Linked DNA regions of Astyanax mexicanus. The protein of the gene in region 1 purifies or fractionates together with the protein of each later gene. This does not show direct contact. Links are inferred from orthologs where the notes say so. Each region holds a gene or a part of one and is shown in the gene's direction. Other genes may lie near its edges.

Region 1 (8,204 bases):
CCTGCTCCTCTTCCTCAGTGGGGTAATGACGGAGCAGGTTGGCAGCCGTGGCCAAGATGGAAGCTCCTCCAGCTCCTGCCACCAGATAGAAGCTGATGGCAAAGGTAACGTAGATAAGTGAACCATGATACTTCTTGTGCTGCTGCTGAAGAGAGAGGATGAGCTCTGAGGCCCAGTAGCAGAAACCAATCACAGTGGCACACTGGAGCACTGCAGAATGAAGCACAATAGTAAACATATTTAGAGAACAGCACAAAAATTTACACCGTCATTGCATACGGTCACTGAAATGCTGGCATTTGCACAGCCGCAATGCAAAATCTTTACTATGTGGACTTCCTGTGAGTATTGTATGTTTATGCAATCCAAAAAAAAAAAAGTAGTAGTAAGTAGTAAGATTGTAGTAAGTAGTAAGTAAGATTGAGTGCCAATATTTTTTTAAATACATCACTATTTTTGTTATAGGCCAAATAAATAAAGCATTCTCTACATATCAAGCCAATTGTTAATATATAGAGGACTGACATAACAATGTTTCTTTAACCCTTTTTTACTCATCATTTAAACACATTGTAAATGTGCCAATAATGCATTAAATGTCACTACCACACGCTAAATACCTGTAAGAATGTGAGCAAAGGCATATCGGCGTGTAATCTTGAGAGCAGGGTGTTTGGGTCCAAAGACGTCCAGTAGAAAAGCTGTCAGGCTACATAAAATGCCCAGGAAACAGAAGGCAGCAATAACTCGCAACAGCAGAATGGTCTGGGAGTTAATGCAATAGTCTGTGGCAAAACAAAAGAAACAACATTTATTTATATACAAAATAAGAGTTGCGCATAGGTACATGGAGCTTCATCATCGCAAAAATCACAGTAAAGTAATCTGTGAACTTTGTGTGAATGTTTAACACATACACTTCCTGTTCCATTTTAATAAGATTTAAATTACTCTAAAAGACATTTTTTTTATTAGTTAATCATTGTCATTTTTTAAATGTATTAAGTCTCCTCAGGCCCACTGCCAGAGAGAATTAAGATTATAGCTATTAGATTCCTCAGGCTCTGTCATCCAAGCAGAATCATATCACAACTTGCATCCCTTACAGGTGAGTTGTTGAGTATTGAAGTGTTGTGATTGTATCAGAAACAGGCCTGTTCCTTTGGTAAGTGTTATTAATAAACATTAAGCAGTCAGTTTAGGTCATAATAAGAGCATAAAAGACTAAAGTGAGTAAAAAATGACCTTTAATAAGTGTCTCGTCTATGTATCCCAGAACGTCAGCCACTCCAAGCTCCTGCCTCGGGCAGGTTCCCCCGTGCACCCGCAGCCAGGCTGGCTCGGCCAGGGCTGTGCACAGGGCCGTGATGGATAGTGCGCCAGGCAGCGCAGAAGCCAAACTTCGTTCGGGTTGTTTGGGCAGTGCTGTTCCACCTCTTCTCCTGCGGGTTCCAGGGAGAGCAGGTCCCGGTGGGGCGTACATGATGTGTTTCTCAGATATAACAACTGAACAGCACCAGGTTCAAAAGTATCAAGTGGTTGTTTAGAAATGTACTGCAGAAGAAAAAAAAAAACACATACAGGGTTCAGGAGAATGCATCTGCATATGGAAAATACATGAGTCTAATGTATAAACTGAAACAAAGGGTCAGAGTATAACAGACAGATCAACAATGGTGCATGCTTACTTCGCTACATGACCAGCTGATCCCTAAAGACCTGTATTTGGGTTGTCACTGATTAGCAAAATTATGGAGTCCTGCTAATTACCTCCTGTATCCATAAAAATAGTGCATGCCGATGGTTTAGTGGGGCCTGTGATAAGCAAGTCATGGCCATATACACTACATGGACAGCTGGGATTGGGATTATACGCCATTGAAATGCCCAGATAGCATTCTGACAAGTATGGAATATTCAGATATTTAGTTAAAAAAAAAAAAAAGTATGGGTCAGCCACTTTTGATGACCAAGCAGAGTGTAAACTGAGTAAGCTGAGTTGTGTGCGCAGCCCTTAACCCCTTTCCCACTGCGTTTCTGGTCCCAGCTGACTAATCAAATAATCAAAACTAACAAAATAATCATTAGTTGCAGCATGGTCACTAAAAGTGACAGACACAACAGATTACATATATTACCTCACTAAATAGCAGTATATTTCAGATTGATCATAATGTGTTCTGGGCATTTAAATCCCATGTTAAGCAGTTACTATAAAATAATAGTCAGATTAGTCAACTAAAAAAATAATCATTAGTTCCAGCCCAAATAGCATGGGATATTTTAAGACCCTTATTATTACGATCACCTGATATTTAGATAGTTTCCTAGTATATCTGTTGGCGATTAGTTGACATAATCGACAATGTTGATTATAAAAATGTATCGACTGTAAGTAACAGTGTGAACTAATAGTTAATACTATTTGTTACTATTTGTAACTGCAGTGCACAACACTTTCTCACTAAATAGCAAAACATTGCACATTAATCGGAATGTCTTTTTCTGGGCATTTAAATGTTGAGCAATGTCTATCGTTTTGAAAAGACAGAGAACTCTAGGAACAGAAGCCATACCCTCAGGAAATAGAGAAAGAAATAATCATTGATCTATCTGAAAAATATTCGTCAGATTAGTCAACTACCAAAATAAACATTAGTTGCAGTCCAAGCAGCTAGTATAAGGAAACAAATCAGACATGACGAATATGACTCACTTAAGACTCAAGCAGGAATCACTCAGCATAAGTAAGCTAACCTAGGTTAACACGACATTATTTCAGAGATCATTAAATCCTTAAAAGTCATTTATTCTATAAAAACATTACTAACCGAGCGATAACAGTATCAAAACTACACTTAACATTTAACCTAGGTTAGTTAGCTAGCACCGCGATGGCTACACCGCTTAGCTAGGTTACGTTAAATCTTGTTTTCTATTAAACATTTAGACGTCTGAATGTGTCGCTTTGGTCCCTTAACCAAAGAAAAAATACTATCCACCCAGTCAAACACTAAACCCACCTGTCGGGCGTGTGGAAATCCGTCCTACTGAGAAACAGGCGAAGTCATGAGGGGGAGAAGTCGAGCTTCGTCGCGGCCAAAGCGGATATTTTAACTCGGATACCGAGAGACTCAGACAGACAAAAGAACCGAAAGAGCTTCTCACACGATAAAACACCCACACCACCCTTACCATTCACCTCCGCCCGCTGCCCCTACTCACAATATTCCCCCTCAGAGTGACTGCTCTGTCTAATACAGCCTCATTCTCCTGCTTTATATCAAAATCCCAATAAAAACAAAGACAGCTCCGAGCTCAGCCGCTAGCCTAGCTACCCAGCTACCTCCCTCTGTTTCCATCCGCACACTTCCGCTTCCTGTAACGTGACGTTCTGTAATAAACCCTAATCCGTTTGTTTATCTGTTTATTTATTTAGTAAAATATCGTATTTTATTATTTTATCATTAATTATTAAAATGTTACCAAGTTATCACTGACATGTTTCCTTTTTTTGTATTTAACTCAAATGTGTTTCTCCCAAATTCCAAATAACAAGATTCAAGATTTTTATTGTCACGTCACAGAGTACAGGTGTATGTACATGTGAGTGAAAAACTTGGGTGCAGATCCCCACCAATGTGCAGAGAATAATATTTACAAGAAGAGTAATAAAATAAAATATAATATAAAATAAGACTTACAGATAGCTTTACAGTATAAACACTATACACAATACACTCAATAACAATAAACATAATAACTTACACTATAGACAAATATTGCACAGAATAAGTATTGCAACAATATTGTCATTTAGAGCATTTATATGCAGAAAGTGAGAAATTGCTAAAATAAAAAAGGTGCAGTGCTTTTAGACCTCAAATATTACAAAGACATATTACAAGCTCATATTCATAAAGTTTTAAGAGTTCAGAAATCAATATTTGGTGGAATAACCCTGGTTTTGGAAAAAATATGAGACCACTTAAAATTATGAGTTTATTGAAAACCTCTGGAATATAACCAAGAGCAAGATGGATGATCACAAGCCATCAAACCAAGCTGAACTGTTTGAAATTTGCACCAGAAGTGGCATAAAGTTATCCAAAAGCAGTGTGTAAGACTGATGGAGGAGAACATGCCAAGATACACGAAAACTGTGATTAAAAACCAGGGTTATTCCACCAAATATTGATTTCTGAACTCTTAAAACTTAATGACTATAAACTTGTTTTATTTACATTATTTGAGGTCTGAAAGCTCTGCATCTTTTTTGTTATTTCAGACATTTTTTATTTTCTGCAAATAAATGCTCTAAATGACAATATTTTTATTTGGAATTTGGCAGAAACGCTGTCTGTAGTTTATAGAATAAGAAACAATGTTTATTTTACTCAAACATATACCTATAATCAGAGAAACTTCAGAAAATGAAGTGGTCTTTTAATATTTTTTTTTCCCCAGAGCTGTATATACAGTATACATCCCTGTAGACTGGAAGCTGTGAGGTTCGCTGTTCCCTGTAAGCGGCGCTGTGTTATAAACCATGTGTAAGGGGGTAGTCAGTGAAGAAAAGAGCAGGAAGGCAGGTGGAGGCATCTGATAAACTAACTGTCAGCAGATAAACATTAGTTTTGACCGGTTTAAGCAGGTAACTGGACGCCGAAACGCTCCTGAATGAAGGACACGGTAGAGCTGGTTCAGCGGCTGAGCGCTCACCCCGACTCCCGCTGCTGGTATGTAGCCTGGAGCCCCAAGGGTTCCCTTCTGGCGTCCTGCGGCGGAGATCGAGCGGTCCGGATCTGGGGGAAAGAAGGTCTGATACTCAGTTCTCACTGTGACTAATGTTACTTTACCTGTGTCTGTGTACAGTGCATCTCAAACAAATTAATATAACTGAAAAGTTACTATTTTAGTTATTTAGTTCAAAATGTGAAAATCATATAATATATAGATGTATTACACAAAGAGTGATATATATATTCTAAGCTTTTATTTCTTTTAATGTCGATGATTATGACTTACAGCCAATTAAAACCCAAAAATCAGTGTCTCAGGAAATGTGAATATTACATATAACCAATTGGTACTTTTGGCAGTGTGGGCAGTGTGCCAAGTCCTGCTGGAAAATGAAATCTACTTCTCCATAAAAGTTGTTATTTTGCAGGAAAACACTGCATGGGATTTTGACTTGATACAACACAGTGGATCAACACCAGCATATGACACGGCTCTCCAAACCATCACTGATCATCAGTAAATTTCGCATTTCATTTGGGAATCAAGAGATCAAGAGTATGGAGGAAGAGTGGATAGTCACACAGTCCAAGCTTCTTGAGGTCTAATGTAAAGTTTCCACAATCAGTGATGGTTTGGAGAGACATGTCATCTGCTGGTGTTGGTCCACTGTGTTATATCAAGTCTAAAGTCAGTGCAGTGTTCTCACGAAAAATCTTTCAGCACTTCATGCTTCCCTCTGCTGACAACTTTTATGGAGATGCAGATTTCATTTTCCAGCAGGACTTGCACACTGCCCACACTGAACTACAAGCATGATCAGCCTGACCAAGCTAGAAGATAACCTGTATGACCAACCTGGTCAATGACGAGCATGACCAAAATCATATATATAGCAGTGCAGACGAAGCACTGCTTAATCATCTAGATAATCAGTATAAAGTATGTTTTTTGTGTATGTTTATGTCTTTTACCCACCTAAAGGTACAATATGTAGTATTTGCCTACAGGTCTGTTACTTTTTTACTGACATACTGCAGACCCTACAGCTGGTTTTAAAAGAGGCATTTTACAGCTCACAATCTGCATTCTACCCTCACAACATGTTTCTGTGTAAAATTAAGTAATTTCTACTTTAAGGTAATATTAAATTATCAAGTTTATTACCTTTAACTATCAAAGGTTAGTTAAAAATTAACGTTATTTCCATGCTATGAGTTCCTCAAGTAAAAACACTTGTAACCTGAGGAGGATTTTAGTTTAGTTTACTGATCTCTGATGTCTAAGGTGTCTGTCTCTATGCCCATGTACTGACACAAGAACAAAACTTTTCACAGCAGAATGGATGTGCAGGTTAATTTATGTGTCCTGGCCTGTTCACACAGGAGACAGTTGGGAGTGTAAGAGTGTGCTGTCAGACGGACACCAGCGGACTGTCAGAAAGGTTGCCTGGTCACCCTGTGGGAATTATCTTGCATCGGCCAGCTTTGATGCTACCACTTGCATCTGGAAGAAGAAGAATGATGATTTTGAGGTAAAACATTTATACACTCTCCAAGCATTGTACAAAAACTCTGCATTGATATTGGGTTGTAATTGTGTATTGGATTACAGATAATTCTCTGTAATTCTCATGGATTGTCCCCTCATGGTTTGGGATGCCTGTGAATTTAAGACTGATTGTCAAAGTTAATCATAACAGTGTGGTAACTTTTACAGTAATAAGTGTGTGTGTTTTTAGTGCCTTACAGTTTTAGAGGGACATGAAAACGAAGTAAAGTGTGTAGCTTGGGCTCCGTCTGGAAACCTGCTGGCCACCTGCAGCAGAGACAAGAGCGTGTGGATATGGGAAGGTTTGTAAAGGCAGTGTTACTTTTTACATGGTCTTTCATACTTTGTATTGTTAACTCTGTGTAGTTTCTCAGCTTCTCTGGGTAGTTCTTGTGTTACAGTTGTAACACGTTTGCCATCTCCCATGCATACAGACATAAAAATAGATTTTTTACTTAAGTCTTTCTTTCTCTACAGTTGATGAGGAGGATGAGTATGAGTGTGTGAGTGTGGTCAATTCTCACACACAGGATGTGAAGCATGTAGTTTGGCATCCCACACAAGAGGTAACATATCTTTGATGTATCTTTTCACGTGATACTGTGAAGCGACTTTATTGTGTTGTCTACAGCAGTTAGTGAGTATGTTTACATGCACTGTATAGTCTACATATTCTAAGTTTATCTAGTTTATTCAGCTAGTCACGGAAACAGCTTGCTCATAATTCTGTAATTATGAAATTAACCATAGTATTCTTGGATTTTTCAGTCTGAGCATAAGTGAAAACAGAAATTGGTAATGAAAATAAGCAACTAAAGGATTTATGTAATCCTCGTATTCTAGTTGATGTATATTCATATTTTGGCTTGATGTGTTAAAAGTTGTCAAAGCAAAATGTTTTTTTTTTATATATATAATGTTTACACCTCAGATTTACTGTTTTAATGTGATTTTCCAAATAGAATAATATTGAATATTGATATAGAAGATGCCAGAGGGAATCTCAGTCAGTCTCAGTCTATCAGAGCCCATAAAGAATATAAAAGTTTAATATGAAAAAGGCTGCTAATAAATAATCAAACAATAGCTTGTGCATTACTTTTAAATTGTTCTGTCTGTTTACAAATAAAAAAAAACTGTTATGTAAAAAGTTATATAAGAACCAAAAATAGTAATTGTAATCGAGAATCGCTCATACATGCAAAGAATATTGAGATTAATGTTTTGTCAATATCACCCAGCCCTAGTTCACTGTATATTAAATTTGACGTTATTCATGTCACATTATACTGGTAATCACAACATATCTACAATCAATATATAAATATATTAGTAAAAAAAAGACCAATATGACAAAAAATCCTTATAGATAATGTATTGTGCAGCCATAACATGTCTTCTTCCTCTACAGCTCTTGGCGTCAGCCAGTTATGACAACAAGGTGTGCATTTATAAAGAGGAGGATGATGACTGGGAATGCAGGGCAACTCTAGAGGGACACACGTCGACAGTCTGGAGTCTTTCCTTTGACCCAGAGGGACACAGATTGGCCTCCTGTAGTGATGACCGCACTGTGAAAATATGGAAGGAGTGCACACCAGGAGATGGCGAGGGTACTTTCACAACTTTTGTTAGTCTGCTTCTAGTCCAAATCTGTTAATGAGTGTGTACACTTGCAGTGTTGGTTGCCAAGAATGCCATGGTTAGTTTTCACACAGGGAAAAAGCCAAGAGCCAAAAACCAAAATGCTTTTCAACAAACCATGTGAGAACCTTATGTCTGCTTATTGGTTAGTCCGAGTTAAGCATATACAAGAAGAAGGTCCTGTGGTTTGGACTTGTGTAAATATCTGTACAGTTACACGTGAAGCAATGGCAGATGCCATTTGTTTATAGTTATATTAGTAAATATCT
Region 2 (8,269 bases), on another chromosome or scaffold:
GTCTCTAGCACAACCTGCTGGACAAAATAAAGTGTGTCTCACATGTTATGCCAATTCATTCTGCCTAAAGTCCTGAACTGACAATGTATCTATATCTTGAAACTGATTATGTACCTGTGCACTTTACGAACCTTTGAAAATTAGATTGAAAAAGCTCCTTATCTGGGCAAAAAGAGACTATTTACTCAGAAGAACACTAATATTAAAATAAATACATTAGTAATATTTTTCATAAGAAAAAGTAGGGTTTTTTACATCACGGTGCTTATTAAAACATCTTCAAAGCTCTCCTCAAGGAGTTCAGTGTTATTTATAGTCCTCATCATATCAACAGTTGGTTTGGTAAATCAGTGATTAAGGATGTTAAATCAGGTGAGCTGCTAATGTAACTGAACACATCCACCCTCTATCCGGGAGCGTCCTTCATATTTCTGAGATTAATTTTAAAACATGCACTCAGTACCAGTACTAAAATATGTATGTATGCATATTATATATATATATATATATATTATAATAACAATAATAATAAAAAATACACATACCAAACACAAACATGCTGCTCCCATACACGACTGCAGAGTGATGATATCTGGGTGCTGGTGGAGTGCCAGTGGTAAAGGCCCTGTTCAATTAAAATACATGAATAATATGATTTTAAAAAGCATTGCATTTGTAAAAAAATAAATAATAATAAAAACAAATAATAATCCTTTAAAATTCAATTTACCCACCGACACCATGAGCAGTCCTTCACATCAAAGCGCAGCAGATCATTAAGCATGTTTTTCCTGCAACAATATCATTAGTGAGACTTTCAATAGCTGGTTAATTTATTGACGTATATTATGTTTCACACCAGCATCCAATTTCTTACCCATTGTCTCCTCCAAACACGTAGATGGCATCCCTGTACGCCACCACTGTGTGCTTGCTGCGTCTGTAAGGGGACAAAGATAAATCAATAACTTAACGATGACCAAATACTGACAATACCACAATTTTTTGAATAAATTGATTTAGTAAACATACAACTCTTTGGGGTTCAAAAAGTTATGCTATTTACATATTTAACTCTTTGAACCCAAAAAAGCAGTATGTTTAGTGAATCATTTGTTGCAGTTACCCTAAAATTGATAGTAGTTAGTGGACGACTTGTAGTAGTTACTAAATCATTTCAGCTTGTCAATTTACATTAGTACTCAATTATTCACAGTAGCTTCCACATAAGTGGCTACGGAATTATTTACAGTAGTTTACTCAATTAAAAAAAATAGTTTAATAGTTTGCACTTTCAAAGATCTCAGTGTGTCGTTTTAAACGTCCGGGGCCTCAGAATTCTACCAATAAAGTGTGAAGCTACTTTGAGCTTGTTACTGGTGTAAAAAGTGATTTCTTTGCATGGGCAGCACTATGCCCCTATCACTAGCATTGTAAGCCTGTTAGTTGGGAGTATCAGCTAAAAGCACTGTATTTCTGAATGCTGGAGGTGAATGGAGGTGGGCTATTCAACAAAGGCTTGTACTCATGTTTGTTATCATGTTTTACTACACCCTAAGTTCATTTTCAGTTTTCTCAGCCCCGTCCCAACTTGAGTAGTGGGTTCTGATTGGACAGCGATTACATTTCATTTTGACACTCACTCCACGATGCTCCTAGACGAAATGCAATCCTGTGCAGTGTGATTTGCTTTTGAACATTCACAGCACTGCACAGTGGAATACAATGCAGTTAAGATGATTTTGTTGAGATGCATTTCAAGTGCAATTCTGATACGAATTAAGCGTTTGGTTTTGAAAATGTAAATTCTTGTGTACTGTTTTTTTAATGATAATAAAAAAGTGCAGGAAAATGTAATGCAATAGTGGTTTTGCATTTCATTCTGGCATGTATTCAGCATGTTAGTGAAGAAAAGCAATGCATCTTGTGGATTGCATTTACATTTTTTTACGGTAGCGTTTGGTTTTCAATTAGGCACCAATTTCTCTCTATTCATAGGTAGCTACAGCTCTGGAGAAAAATAAGAGACCACTTAAAAATTATGAGTTTCTTTGATTTTACCAAATCCAAAACCCCTGGAATATAATCAAGAGGAAGATGGATGATCACAAGCCATCAAACCAAGCTGAACTGCTTGAATTATTGCACCAGGAGTGACATGAAGTTATCCAAAAGCAGTGTGTAAGACTGGTGGAGGAGAACATGCCAAGATGTGTGAAAATTGTGAAAACCAGGGTTATTCCACCAAATATTGATTTCTGAATTCTTAAAACTTTATGAATATGAACTTGTTTTCTTTGCATTGTTTGAGGTCTAAAAGCTCTGCATCATTTTTGTTATTCCAACAATTTGTTCATTAATTTTCTGCAAATAAATGCTCTATATGACAATATTTTTATTTAGAATTTGGGAGAAATGTTGTCTGTAGTTTATAGAATAAAATAACAATGTTCATTTTACTCAAACACCAGAGAAACTGATTCAGAAACTGAAGTAGTCTCTTAATTTTTTCCAGAGCTGTATTTATACTGAAACCTCTGTATTTTGGGGGTCCAGCCCTGGTGCTTACCTTGCCCCAACAAACTCGTCGCAGGGTGGGAGTCGCCTCCAGCGATGGACGGTCTCGAAGGGACCGAAGTTGAGTGTCAGATACTCAACACTGTCCGAGCAGCTGTGGTCGAAGTCCACACTCGGGGCCACTTTGGACTTACAAGACATGGCTCCAGGAAACCATGACATTCAGCTGGAGCTCTACCCGGCGCTGTGTGACCGCCACGGGGGGAGAAATCAGACAGCTCGGCCTGGAGAAGGAGGGGGGCGGGTTTCTGACTAAAACAAACCACCAGAGCTAGCAGACAGTGCGGAGCTTTAAACTCAGAAGCTCATAGTAGCCTAATATCCTCCATATTCAGCATATTTACCATTATTATATTTATATAAACCTGTTTAACTAGCTAATAATAAACGCAGCAGCAGCAGCAGAGTTTGACAGACTCTCAGCCTTCCATTCTGCTAAGCTAACGTTGCTAAGCTAAGGCTGGCTAACTATCCAACCTAAAAACCAACCCCTAAAAATCAGGTTTTCTTTAAGGCCCCTCCTCTCAGATATTATCTAAAGCTCACTTTATGTAACAGGCAAATTTTAAAAGCTGCTGCTTTAGAAAGATAAAGAGCATAACTGATATTTTAAGCCAAACAACCAGTTAGTTAGCTAAGCTAGGCTAGCTGTTGCTACTTTCCTCATCGCTCCTATGGGCGGAGTCTCCCCAGCAGTTGCCATGCGTGATTTTCTCGATTCTGATTGGTGGATTCTCTCACTTACTCGCTCATTCATGTTTTTACTTTGTATTATTTATTATATGTTTTTATAAGCATTTTTCAATATCATGAACGGTTTTATACCATGAAATATCGTGCAATATCACCCAGCACTAATTATCACATCAGGGTACTGCTTTTTTGCTGTTTTTAGCAAAATAAAAATTCACACTCTTCTCATTTCCCATTATATATCTACCAGAGAAAGATTATATCTGTCCATTATCATTTATTCGACTTTATTTTAGGATATATGGAGATATTTGGAGTGCATTATTATTAGTATCATGACATTTTGGATCACTAACTTTTGTTAAAAATCTGTTAAAAAGTCTTGTATTTTTTAAAATCTCAGTTAGGGGTGTGCCATATCATATCGTATACAATAATAAAATGTAAGCTTCATTTTGCTGCAGTAGTGTATTCTTAAGATAATTTTATTTCACACACGCATACAAACACATATATAGTACCTAACCCTATCTAAACAGTATTTTTCAGTATTTTCACATTTCAGTTCTCATAAATAATGCATTTATTTAACAGGATTTTAATAAATGAATGGGATGATTAATATGTGTTACTAAAGTATTCTTTAATACAGTTATTTAGGACAATTGCAATTTATATCACTATTGCCTGTATATTAGAAGGTTAGAACAAGGAATTGAATAAGCAGAAAAATAAAAGGTAAACATAATAAACAAATAAGTGAAATTTAAAGAATCCTCAACATTAATATTAAAGATAAATAATATTATAATATATTATAATATAATATTAGCAAAGTCATCGTAATAAAAACACGGAGGGGGGTACGTAATAACGCTATAGTTTATTTCCACTTTAAACACTGAAAAAAAAAAACATTTAAACAGGTTTAGATACAGTCATTTATTCCATTTCCGCCACCTGAAGAAAAAAAAAACGTCCTCAACTAAGTCATAATTATGAGATAGTAAGTCATAATTATGAGATAAAAAAGTCATAATTATTAGATAGTAAGTCATAATTATGAGATAGAAAGTCATAATTATGAGATAGTAAGTCATAATTATGAGATAGTAAGTCATAATTATGAGATAGAAAGTCATAATTATGAGATAGAAAGTCATAATTATGAGATAAAAAGTCATCTCATAATTATGACTTTCTATCTCATAATTATGACTTTCTATCTCATAATTATGACTTAGTATCTCATAATTATGACTTTCTATCTCATAATTATGACTTAGTATCTCATAATTATGACTTTTTTATCTCATAATTATGACTTACTATCTCACAATTATGACTTAGTATCTCATAATTATGACTTACTATCTCATAATTATGACTTACTATCCCATAATTATGACTTTTCTATCTCATAATTATGACTTAGTTGAGGACGTTTTTTTTCTTCAGGTGGCGGAAATGGGCTTCCATAGTCATTAGTTCAGGAGCAATGCTTTTTTTTTTTTTTTTTTAGCAAAAAAATGATTTCTAAAATGCACCAAGGACCAATCCCAAATAGCAACAATGCTCCATATATACTGCATATAAGTTCACTACTTAGTTGAGTGCAGCAGCTGTCAATTTCTAGTGCCCTACATAGGGTGTATAGCCATTTGGGACGCGATCCAGGAGCTTCCATGTGCCAATCTGTGCCCCGATTGGTCAACAGGCATCAAGGGGCGGAGCCGTGCGCGCGGAAGCTGATGGGCTCTCGCGGCAAGTAGGGCAAAAACCCGCCAAACTCAGACTGGGGAAAACAGTAAAAATAGCCGCGAATATTAGAGAAAAATTTCAAGAAACTCTATTTTATATGCGCTTTAACGCCAACCGGCACACTCTACTTGTTACGGAGATGTGATATATAGTTGTGTTGGCTGAGAAAATAGAGAGAATTGAATGTAAATCGCTTATATATGTTTGTAAGTAGTTACGATAGCTAGCTGTGCTAGCGCTGGATGACAAGAGTAGTGGTTAGTTAGCTAGCGGGGGTTTAGCTTAACTAGCTTAGCTAGCTAGCTAACCTTTCCAGACACCTTAAGCTCTATAGAGCCTCTGTACTCAGATTGTTTACTAGTTAACTTACTAGCCAGCGGTTAGTAGCTTAATTCAGGATGGTTCTACAGAACAGTGGAAGATTCAGAGTAGACCGGGATGGAGGAGACCAAGACAACCAGCAGTAAGTTCTCACAACACTGACAACTAACAGCAGCAGTAGGAGGAGGAGTAACCAGAATATAACCTGAGAATGGAAAGAAATATCAGGCCTAAAATGTTGCTGAGTGTATAAAACAAAGCTGCAGTAAATATATTTAACGTGTGTTTGGTGTTATCTTCTATTTTAGGGGATAATTACAGTCTGATTTTAAAATGTAAAGCTTAAAGTGAGAGCTACCTTGGTTTTAAACTAGGTTAGGTAGGTTAAGTATTGTCACTAATTAAATATCTGGTATGGAGACATATGTAAAATCACTAAGACGTTGCTGAGTGCAGAACAGAACTGCTGTGAAACTTATTAGATAATGTGTGTTTAGATTAATCTTTTTTTTGGGTTAATTATTGTCTGATATTAAATCCAAAAGCTTAAATGTAGAGTGTAAGTTCTGATATTAAATCAGCAGAGCTGGGTGTTCATAATAAATATGTGTGTTCTGTATAGTAGAGGTGGGCAATATTATATCGTGACACAGAAATATCATGATATTAAAAATCCATATTGTGATAATAGGCCTTGTTTTGTTTTAAAAGTAGTCTATTATTTACTGTGAAGCTTTAGGTGTATTTATTGTATAATTGTTTGTTTGCAGTTTATATGCATGCACTAAATATTCTGCAATATTATTTGTTGCATTATATTATTTTATGCTATATTATTTATTTTCCCACATTATGATTATTATGTTATTCTATTATACTATATTCCTGAAATGAATGAATTATTTTAGTTTTCCTATATCGCCAAGTACATCGTTATCGCAAACAATACCCTGAAATATCGTGATATTATTTTAGAGCCATATCGCCCACCTCTACTGAATAGTCAATATTTTAACACTGTATAATCGTGAAACCTGGATATTGTGCCTAAAGAGGATCTAGATTTGGTAATGAGACCCATTAAAAATTTTCCCTCATTCATTTTGTCTTATTATATGTGCATGATGCAGCATATTGATTGTGATTTTGTATCCAAAGATATGTGGTGGGTTTTGATATATACTTTTTTTTAAGCTATGATTAATTACAAAAAAAATATTCTATGATATTGTATATCGCAATAATAAATTGTTATTGTGAAAGGTCTGTATATTTTACTTGTATTTTAGTAATTCAGACACGTTAAAATAAATTTCAAAACATAAAGTCACTCAAGACATCCAAGGCAAAAAGAAAAATATGACAGAACTTGACCAAAGGAAGATACACTACAAGTAACACTGATGCTCTTTTATACCTGATACTCTGATTTGACACTGATAAAGCGAGTTGCTGTTGTTCCCAGCCGCTTCCACTGTGTTATAATATCACTACAGCTACTGTTTATTAAAAATGTGCTAATGTAATGAATTGTTTTGCCTAAAGGGATGATGGACCCGGCATGTCTGCCGTCAAGCGGCTTGAACGAAGTCAGTTTACTGATGGAATGGACACACGCTTCGGATTTGAGCGAATGAAGGAGCCTGGAGAAAAAACTGGATGGCTGATCAACATGCATCCGGTACGTGGTCAAAAGGGTCATATACACAATAATAATAATAATAATACTCTGTTAAATGTCTGTTCATTTAATACAAATTAAGAATGTATAAGAAATAATTAACCCAAATTCATGAAAACATCATAACACTAAGCACCTAATAAAGCAATCTGTAGAGTTTTCACTGCTCTCAGTAACTCCTGTGATATCTCACTTCTGCCAGACGGAGATTTTGGATGATGACAAGAGGATGATCAGTGCTGTGGATTATTACTTCATTCAGGAAGATGGCAGCAGATTCAAGGTTAGGAATAATGTTACTAAATCAGCAGTTGATGGTTTGGTTAATTTGTTTCCCTCTCTATTTCATCCTTTAACATTCACTGTTTATTTTTGTAGGTGGCTTTACCCTTTAAGCCATACTTCTACATAGCCACTAAAAAGGTAAGAATAAAAATGTATCTACAAACATTTAGTACAACATATAAAGTAGGGTTTTTCCAATGTGACCTCTTTATTTTCTGTAAATTCTGTAGAACTGTGAGAGAGAAGTCGTCTCCTACTTGTCAAAGAAGTACCAAGGAAAGGTGGCAAAACTGGAGATTGTGCCCAAAGAGGATCTAGATCTGGTAATGAGACACATTACATTTTTACATAATTTATTTAGCCTTTTTTAATTTTTATGACACAGCATGTTAATTGTAATACTGTGTGCAAAGATATGTGATGGCTTTTATTGGGTTTTATTAAACTTTTTTTTATTCAGTAAGAACAGTGGCATCTTAAGAATTAAGCACTGATGTCTAGAGGCTGACAGCAATCTTTGCATGTGAACTATTCTTTAAAAATATTGCTGTTTTTTAAGAAACGATACAGTATTACAAAATATTTTTGTGATTCTCGAGGATATTGATATTTTCTTACACCCATCATTGTAACTCTGTTGCATATCAGATTGTCTGTCAGTCTTTCAAACCTTTTATGTGCTTATAAATTCAGAAATTTCTCTCTATTTATATTATGTTACTTTCATTTTAGTATTGTTTTAATATGCTGTTGTTTATTCCAGCCGAACCACCTGGTGGGTCTGAAGAGGAACTACATCAAACTGTCCTTTAACACAGTGGACGACCTAATCAAAGTGAAGCGAGAGATTTCACCTGCCGTTAGAAAAAACAGGGAGAGAGAGAAATCTAATGATGCCTACACCAGCATGCTGTGCAGGTATTTTTCATACATCCCAATTTAGAAATTACA
Region 3 (8,294 bases), on another chromosome or scaffold:
ACGGTGAAACAGTCTGAAATTTTATTTGACATTATATACATGACATTTTTTATGACATAAAATGTTTGTGTGTATCTTCTGGAGCTTTTATAACTTCAATTATTTCTTCATCTGTGTCTTTTATGAGATCTATCTCTACCTATTCTCAGGTTTTAATCAAATCTATCTCTTTATGCTCTGGATTTAGCCCTGTCTCTCTATGGTCTACAATTTGATGCCCCTCTTTGATATGATTATATGTACTATATATTATAATAATAAGTTTCTTTTTTACTTGAGATTGGAGCACAATCTGTCATGCTTTTCTTTTTTCCTTATTTTGAACTCAATAATAATTCCCTCATAATTTCATTTTATTTAAACATTACGAATATTGTGAAACATTTACTGCATTGCATTTTTTTGTATTCAGCTAAATATCTGAACCAGATTTTAGGTTGATTTAGCTGAAAAACAGAGAGAAGTAATTCTCTCTGAATCAATCTAATAGGAATCCAGTAATCTAAAATTTGAAGTAATCATCTTTGTTCATCTGTTAATCTTAATTATAGTTATAAACACTCACCTGTACAAGAATTTTATCACGGCAAGAAGCGCCAAGCAGAGAACCAGCAGCCTCAACACCTTGTGCCTGTCCATCTCGCTGTCACTACAGAGACTGCAGGGAAAACCAGAGAACACCCAATGACATCCACAATGTCAGAAACAAATGACACACCGCCTGCTGAACATCTGCATAACAAAACCCCTCTGCATATTAAAATACTTTAAGTAATCAGTAAGGAGATGGGATTCAAACCTAATAAACAGAGGAGTGTGGTCAGTTAAAGATCACCCCTTATCTTAAAAAAAACAATAAAATTTAACTTTTTGAGAACTTTACATCTGATAAACCTGTTTGGAAAATGTGGAAAAACGAGTGTGCGCGGACCACACCTCTGACTGGCATTCGCAGCAAGGAGAGTTTCTGAATGGATACATAATCCTGTGTTTCTGTCTGGTTGTCAGTCTGTCTGTCATTTAAATAAGGCCATTCAAAATGTGGCGTAATCTGAAGGAGGAGCCGACAGTCTAATGTCATGATAATTAAAAACAATTTCACAATACACAACCTAAGGCCTGTCATGTTCATGACCATTTTTATTTAGATTTGATATGCTGTCCCAAAAGTAACTAAATAAAATAAATGTACAATACTGAGCAAAAGTTTTAGACAGCAAAGCAAATTACACTAATCCATTTATCTCCTAAAAAAAGGACCACATATGATTTAAACAGATGCAAATAAACATAAATACAGTAAAACGTAACAAGGAATTCTCATTTTAACTAAGTATGTTATATCCTGTGAGCCAAACTGAAAAACTAAGTGTGGTTTCAGATTTCTTCTGGATGCTCCTCAGCCAGCATGTGTATATTATGTTCAGTTCCGTCAGCAACTCACCTGATTTAACAAATTTACCAATTTACCAAACCAGTTGTTGATTAATATGATGAGAACTAGAAATAACTCTATTAAACTCAGATGAGGAGAAGAGATTAGGAGATGTTTTAAGGAAAACAGGGATGTAAAAGCTCTGCTTTTTGTAAAATTGCTGTTTGTATTTATTGTAATGCTGGTGTTTTACTGAGCTAATGAACACTTACTTCACAGATAAGAAGCTTTTTCTTTAATGAAATTCCCAATGGTGCCTAAAACATTTGCACAGTACTGTATATTTTTTAAATTATTTTATAATTTTTTCTCCCCAGTTTAGCTAGGCCGGTGGTCCCACCTATGCAGCTGCCACTCAGCTGTATATCCCCCCATCACAGGTGATGCCTCAACACAAGAAGGGAAAAGATAAGCACATGCCACTTCTGATACATGTAAAGTCAGACTCCGCCTCTTTTTGAACTGCTGCTGATGCGCAGGAAAGCGCAGCGACTCGGTTCTGATACATCAGCTCACAGACGCCTTGTGCTGATCGACATCACCCTTTGGAGTGATGAGAGGAAAGAGTGCCATCTACCCACCCAGAGAGGGAGAGAGAGCAAGGACAATTGTGCTCTCTCTGGGCTCCGGCAGCTGATAGCAAGGTGCATGACCGGGATTCGAACCAGCGATCTCCTGTTCATAGTGGCAGTGCTTAGTCAGCTGGCCCAATCGGCACCCATTAAATTATATTATTGTAATTTTAAGAGGAATTATATACAGTAGCAGTCAAACGTTTGGACACACTTGTTCTCATTCAACGTGTTTTCTTTTCTTTTCATAATTTTTTAACACTAATTGATACGCATGAACCAGCCAATGAAGTTTACAAGCTAATAAAACAGTAGCTTACCTCTGCACGCTTCACTAAAGAAAAAAAACGACAGCTAAGGCATTAGAGCTTGGCAGCGTTCGAAAGCCAAGAAGGCAAAGTAATAAACGCTCATTTTCAGAGCTAATTTTATGTGATATTTAGACACTTTAATCATGTTTACTTTACTGAGTAGGATCATTTGGGGGTTGTGACATAAAATATTTTGGTAAACTCGCCTCATGCTTCTTTTGTTTTGTTTTAAAAGCAGAAGTAACGAGTAAAAAGTAATAAATTAAAGTACAGGTAAAAGAAAAAACATTACCTGCACTGGTTTAATATGCACTACTGCTTTTCAAATGAATTATTAAGCTTCACTTACTGTCAGAATGCCTGTGCCTGTTTTCCCTCAGGTAGTGCTGTATTTATTGGCTTTATTTCCGTGAGTGGCGCTCACTTATTCTGAATAAAGAGATTAATCACTCTGTTCTGTCCTCACAAACCACGCCCATACACTGGGTAAACCACGCCCATGTAGTCCAAACTTAGTAAGCCACGCCCATAACGTCCAACCTTAATAAACCACGCCCTTAGTTCAGCTTATCATAAAATAAGATAATATAAGATAAGCTAAGATACCATTATTATAAATGCAGTGTGCACAAAGAAACTGAGCAGCATTCCTTAAGGTGTTTAAGACATACAGTAAAAACATTAACTGAGAAAAACTATAATGTAGAAATAATAATAATAATAATAATAATAATAATAATAATAATAATAATAATAATAATAATAAAAACATATATATTTTACATATATATGTTACAGTTATTGTGTATTAAGTTACACTTTAATTAAGTTAATTAAGGTACACTTTTACACACATATCCACAATAAAGAACTTTTTCAGAACTGGTCAGATTTGAAAATGGATACGATGGATACTATTAAATGATTTTTTCAACAGCAAATTTCACCACCATCACAGGTCCAAAACACATAAAAAGCGATTTGAAAATTTTCAAATTTATGAATTGAGCCGTTAAACATTGAAAACTCAAAAAGTCAGGCGAATTCTGAATATACAAAATGCAGACTTAAAGAGTTGTCAGCTTTTTTAAAATCCATACTAGTATTTTTTATGTGGATGGGTGTTTTCTGTATGGTTACTTTTTTTCTGTAGTGTTTTATTAATTGATAAATTATTAATTTTAATTTAATAACAAAGGAAGAAAAGGCTACATGCAGCAGATTAAACAGTACCGGAGCTGGTTTATGGAGAGAAAATGACAGAAAAAGCGCTAGAGGGAGCCCGCGAGTGAGCCCAAAATGAATGAGGGTGAATAGAGCTAAACGGCTAAAAATACAAATTAACAATAGTAAATATCTACTTGTCCAAGATTTGTCTTTAATTCTGGTATTATTCTGGTGTATTTTGGTAAATATATAAAGAAAATGTAACTATATCATTGAATTATTCCTTAGAAGCGGGATTTGTGCAGTAAAGGCGCTAGCATTAATGCTACTGTGAGCTGATGCTTTGACTGGAGTTACAGTCTTTAAAGCACTTTCAAGGGTTTATAGCTGGAGTTTACACGCTTTATTTTTTATGTTGGTAATATTTATAGCTTAAATGTAATGTTAATACAGATATTGTACCTAACACAGAGCTGATGTAATGTAATTGTAATGTAATTGTGTGTTTGTAATGTATCCACTGTAATTGGTAATATAAGGATAAAGGGGAAAAAAAGGCTAGTGGCCAATATGTGATGTTGTAACCAGGATTTGCTTAACCAGCATGTGTTCATTTTATTAATACAGGCTGAAATGCTCACTGTATTGTAATACTACCTATTTAACTATTTACCTATAGATCTAGTCAGTGGTTGTGGTTCAGAAGGGCTGAGGCTGTGTGGGGAAGGGAGTGAGTTTGTGCTTCTACAGCAGGCTTGGAGGGGGGTGGGTCTGGGACGCCAGACTTCACTGTTGAGCCTTCTGGAGGTGTCGTGGGCCTAATTCAGCGAAACACTGACGAAGGAAGGTGCCTGCCTGATGACCCCTGAGAAGAGCTTGCACTGAAGTTTGTGTTAGAGTTTGGATGAAGGGGATTGGTGTGGTCCTGCTCTTGTAATAATTTGTCTCATGAGTTTTTGTAGACGTCTGAGTACTTGGCAGTTGAGGCACGGACCATGAACATAGTTCGCTATGCTTCTGGATTCTTGTCGAGCCAGTATCAGATGGTAGTGGTTGCTGTGTTCTGCTCACGCAACTTATAACGTGATTTATTGTGTGTGATTGTGCTTAGGTAAGTGTGTTGTTGCCATAGTTAAAGGAAGTGAGCTTAGATTAAGGAGGGATTCTGTGTGTTCATAGGTTATTTTTTGGTAGGTCTGTTACTTGGCAGTTGAGGCAATGGACCATGAACATAGTGTTAGGCTGTGCTTCTGGATTCTTGTCGAGCCTGTATCAGATTGTGGTGGTTTTGCTATTGTTGTTAGTTGAGTGAGTAGTAGTTCCTGGCTGAGCCCTATGCATAACCCCAGCTGTTAGGTGCAGGATTTGTCAATTTCCTGTATTATATTACTTAACCTTTTCTTTTTTAAGGAATGTGTAAAACCAGTGAAAGTAGACAAGAAGCAAGGAAGATATGTGGCCAAAATCCAAATAAAAGTTATTTCTGCACTGATAAAAACTGATGTTTTTAAATATTATTCTGTGTTAAAAAAAATAGTAAAAAAAAAATAGTATGGCAATAATTAAACATGAAAAAACTCTGATTATGCTCTGATCATTCCTCCATATGAACCCATTCTTTTTGGTATAACTCCTGAGCGCCCTCTGTTGGTAATAATAACTAATAATTCTCTGACCGTTCTGTTTCATGCATGCGGACTACACATGCTGCTTTACTGCCCTGTCGTGCTTAACCGTGACTGACCAGATTTACGACACTCGTCACGCTTGACGGCAGTGTTGTTATATCGCGTGATCAGGCGGTATGGCGTCTCATTTCAGCGGCGTCCTTCAGTTAACAGACCTGGATGATTTTATCACCCCATCCCAGGTAAACTAACACAGCCACGCGGGTTATTAGGATTAAGTGGTGATATATGTTTAGATTACCGCTGATTATTTTAGCCAGGGAGGCTGATATTGTGCTGTTAACCTCAGTTAGCTTAGAAACTTAGCCAGCAAGCTAACAGCCAGTTATAGCTAACTTACAGTCAGCTGACTGTAAGTTTAGACCTAACCCACAGTATAATCTATCTCATTTACTATACTAGTGTGGATGTATTACACACAGAGTGATTTATTTTAAACGTTTATTCCTTTTATTGTTTATGATTATGGCTCACAGTCAATGAAAACCCAAAAAAATAGTAGCTCAGAAAATTAAAATATTATATAAGACTTCTGGCATGAAGTGCTGTAAGATTTTGTGGGAGAACACTGCACTGACTTTAGACTTGATAAAACACAGTGGATCAACACCAGCAGATTACACGACTCTCCAAACCATCACTGATCATTGTAAATCAAGGGAGCAGAGTCTGGAGGAAGAGTGGAGAGACACACAGTCCGAACTTCACAGTGTGAAGTTTCTACAATGATGATACAATGATCTTTAAGAAACTCCTGAAGACAGAGCTCTTCAAAGAGCACTTACTCTCTTAACACCTCTAACACACTAACTACTTATAACCTCATTTCCTTCTTCCCCTCCTTCACTCCTCTATCCTATTATTCCCCTTTGACCTCCTTTTATCCCTATCCAAAGTTGTTTTTACCTTTAAACTTATTTTACATTGTACTTGACTATTGTAAGTCGCTTTGGACAAAAGCGTCTGCCAAATGTAATGTAATGTAATGTAATGTAATGGAGAGACATGTCATCTGCTGGTGTTGATCCACTGTGTTAAATCAAGTCCAAATTCAGTGCAGCGTTTTCCTGAAAAACCTTACTGTACTTCATGCTTCCCTCTGCTGACAACTTTTATGGAGATGCAGATTTAATTTTCCAGCAGGACTTGGCACACTGCCCACACTGCCAAAGGCACCAATTGGTCTTATATAATATTAAAATTATCTGAGATACTTTAAATAGATCACTCTAAGTGTAATACATCTATATAATGAGTTTCACACATTGAACTGAATTACTGAAATAAAGTATATTTTTAATGATGTTCGATTTTTTTTTTAGACTAGTAGATTATAGTGCTCGGGTTTTAATTTAGTTAGGTTTGTGACTTACTGTACTCTTAGGAGTAGGGGTGGGCGATATGGCTCTAAAATAATATCACGATATTTCAGGGTATTTTTGCGATAACGATATACTTGGCGATAGAGGAAAACTAAAATAATTCATTCATTTCAGGAATATAGTATAATAGTATAACAGAATAATCACAATGTGGGAAAATAAATAATATAGCATAAAATAATATAATGCAGCAAATAATATTGCAGAATATTTAGTGCATGCATATAAACTGCAAACTAAAACAATTATACAGTAAATACACCTAAAGCTTCACAGTAAATAATAAACTACTTTTAAGACAGAACAGCCCTATTATCACGATATGGATTTTTAAATATCATAATATTTCTGTGTCACGATATATTGTATACGATATAATATTGCCCACCCCTACTTAGGAGTACATATTATGTAAACATTCAGGCTTTAAATGAAGGCTTTAATTATTATTGGGTTTAGTTTTGTCACACAAAATAACTGGAGTTTAGAAGCTTTAAAAGCCATGTTGGTGATCTTTATTACTTAAATGTAATATTAATACAGATATTTCACCTAACAGAGATAATGCCATCAGTTTAGGTTATGTTGTCATCTGTAAATGTATCCACTGTAATTGGTAATATAAGGATAGTATGGGGGGAAATTGGGGTAAAAAAAGGCTAGTGGCCAAAATGAGAAATGTTGTAACCAGGATCTGCTCAGCCAACATGTGCTCATTTTATATATGCAGATTACTACCTATTTAACCCATTCTTCTTCTTTTTAGGAATGTGTGAAACCAGTGAAAGTAGACAAGAAGCAAGGAAGATCTGTGGCCAAAATCCAAATAGAAGACGATGGCAGTTATTTTCAGGTCAACCAGGTTGGTGAAGTATCCTGTTCTTTACTGATTATGATGAGCAGATTTCAGGTCATTGTGTATATATATATTATGAGCTGTAAGTAGGTATAAACTTACTTTGTTATTGCAGCATAATGATCACTGTGATGTAGCAGCAAGATAGCCCATCACCAGGGTGACATTGTATGAATGAACTTACCTTTTAATCCTGCCTCATAGAGGGTTAGAAGGGAAAAGGGACGCAAAGGGAACCGGGGCTGCTTCTCCTGGTAGGACGAATCCACTTTCAGGGAGTGCTTCTTGTTTATCTGAAAAAGAAAGAAAATTAGTTAATACATGTGTAAAAAAAATAGTGATCAGTTATCTGTATGTCATTACCTGTGTATGTTAAATAGTGCTATTGTGTGTCATTGGTTTTGTCTGTTTTATCTGTTTAATGTTTAATGGATCTCCACCCCTTAAGGGGGTTTGTGGTTTAGTCGGGGCAGGGCTTAATGTGTGAATACCTGGCTTGGGTACTCGGTTGGGGGAAAAAAAAAACTCTCTCGGGGAAACTGTGTTGCTTGTAGCAGCGCATGGTTTGTAGGTTTGTAGAGAGAAAGTGAAACAGTATCTCAAGATATTTACTTTTGTAAATATGTGTAAATACTTACTGTTTTTTTTTTTTTGTGTGTGTGAATCTTCGTAAATAAATAACTGTGCACTTTTATATTTGGCTCATATCTTCTGTTTCACACCACATTAAGGGTCCTTGAAAAATTGGTTGCATGTAAAATCCAAAATTAATAAAGCCGAATTACCCACAGCATTTGGCATCACATTGTGTTACACAACGCTTTTGTGTGATCCAATATGTTGACCTACTCCTTGACATTCCTTGAGATCTGATTCAGCCTTG

The links. Proteins that work in one complex are often made in the same cells at the same time.
Region 2: the proteins of ciao1 (region 1) and pole purify together in Homo sapiens (affinity purification with western blotting; 3 studies listed by BioGRID, with this or other methods). This does not show direct contact. The link is inferred for Astyanax mexicanus from reciprocal best matches to the Homo sapiens genes CIAO1 and POLE.
Region 3: the proteins of ciao1 (region 1) and narfl purify together in Homo sapiens (affinity purification with western blotting; 3 studies listed by BioGRID and IntAct, with this or other methods). This does not show direct contact. The link is inferred for Astyanax mexicanus from reciprocal best matches to the Homo sapiens genes CIAO1 and CIAO3.

What each region holds. Positions count from the first base shown.
Region 1 is NC_064419.1:34,890,249-34,898,452, reverse strand, and holds the start of ciao1 (probable cytosolic iron-sulfur protein assembly protein ciao1), read left to right. Parts: upstream 1-4,549; 5' UTR 4,550-4,680; coding exon 4,681-4,819; intron 4,820-6,125; coding exon 6,126-6,274; intron 6,275-6,481; coding exon 6,482-6,593; intron 6,594-6,768; coding exon 6,769-6,857; intron 6,858-7,702; coding exon 7,703-7,904; intron 7,905-8,204. Other genes in the region: tmem127 (transmembrane protein 127), read right to left, coding at 1-210, 621-785, 1,246-1,483. UniProt on the Homo sapiens protein: Key component of the cytosolic iron-sulfur protein assembly (CIA) complex, a multiprotein complex that mediates the incorporation of iron-sulfur cluster into extramitochondrial Fe/S proteins.
Region 2 is NC_064429.1:31,314,225-31,322,493, reverse strand, and holds the start of pole (DNA polymerase epsilon catalytic subunit A), read left to right. Parts: upstream 1-5,054; 5' UTR 5,055-5,429; coding exon 5,430-5,494; intron 5,495-6,897; coding exon 6,898-7,033; intron 7,034-7,235; coding exon 7,236-7,316; intron 7,317-7,411; coding exon 7,412-7,456; intron 7,457-7,548; coding exon 7,549-7,641; intron 7,642-8,081; coding exon 8,082-8,236; intron 8,237-8,269. Other genes in the region: lztr1 (leucine-zipper-like transcriptional regulator 1), read right to left, coding at 546-625, 735-791, 878-940, 2,570-2,739. UniProt on the Homo sapiens protein: Catalytic component of the DNA polymerase epsilon complex. Participates in chromosomal DNA replication.
Region 3 is NC_064426.1:28,303,735-28,312,028, reverse strand, and holds the start of narfl (cytosolic Fe-S cluster assembly factor narfl), read left to right. Parts: upstream 1-5,079; 5' UTR 5,080-5,289; coding exon 5,290-5,355; intron 5,356-7,321; coding exon 7,322-7,417; intron 7,418-7,595; exon of another isoform or gene 7,596-7,613; intron 7,614-8,294. Other genes in the region: zgc:113333 (beta-N-acetylhexosaminidase), read right to left, coding at 566-639.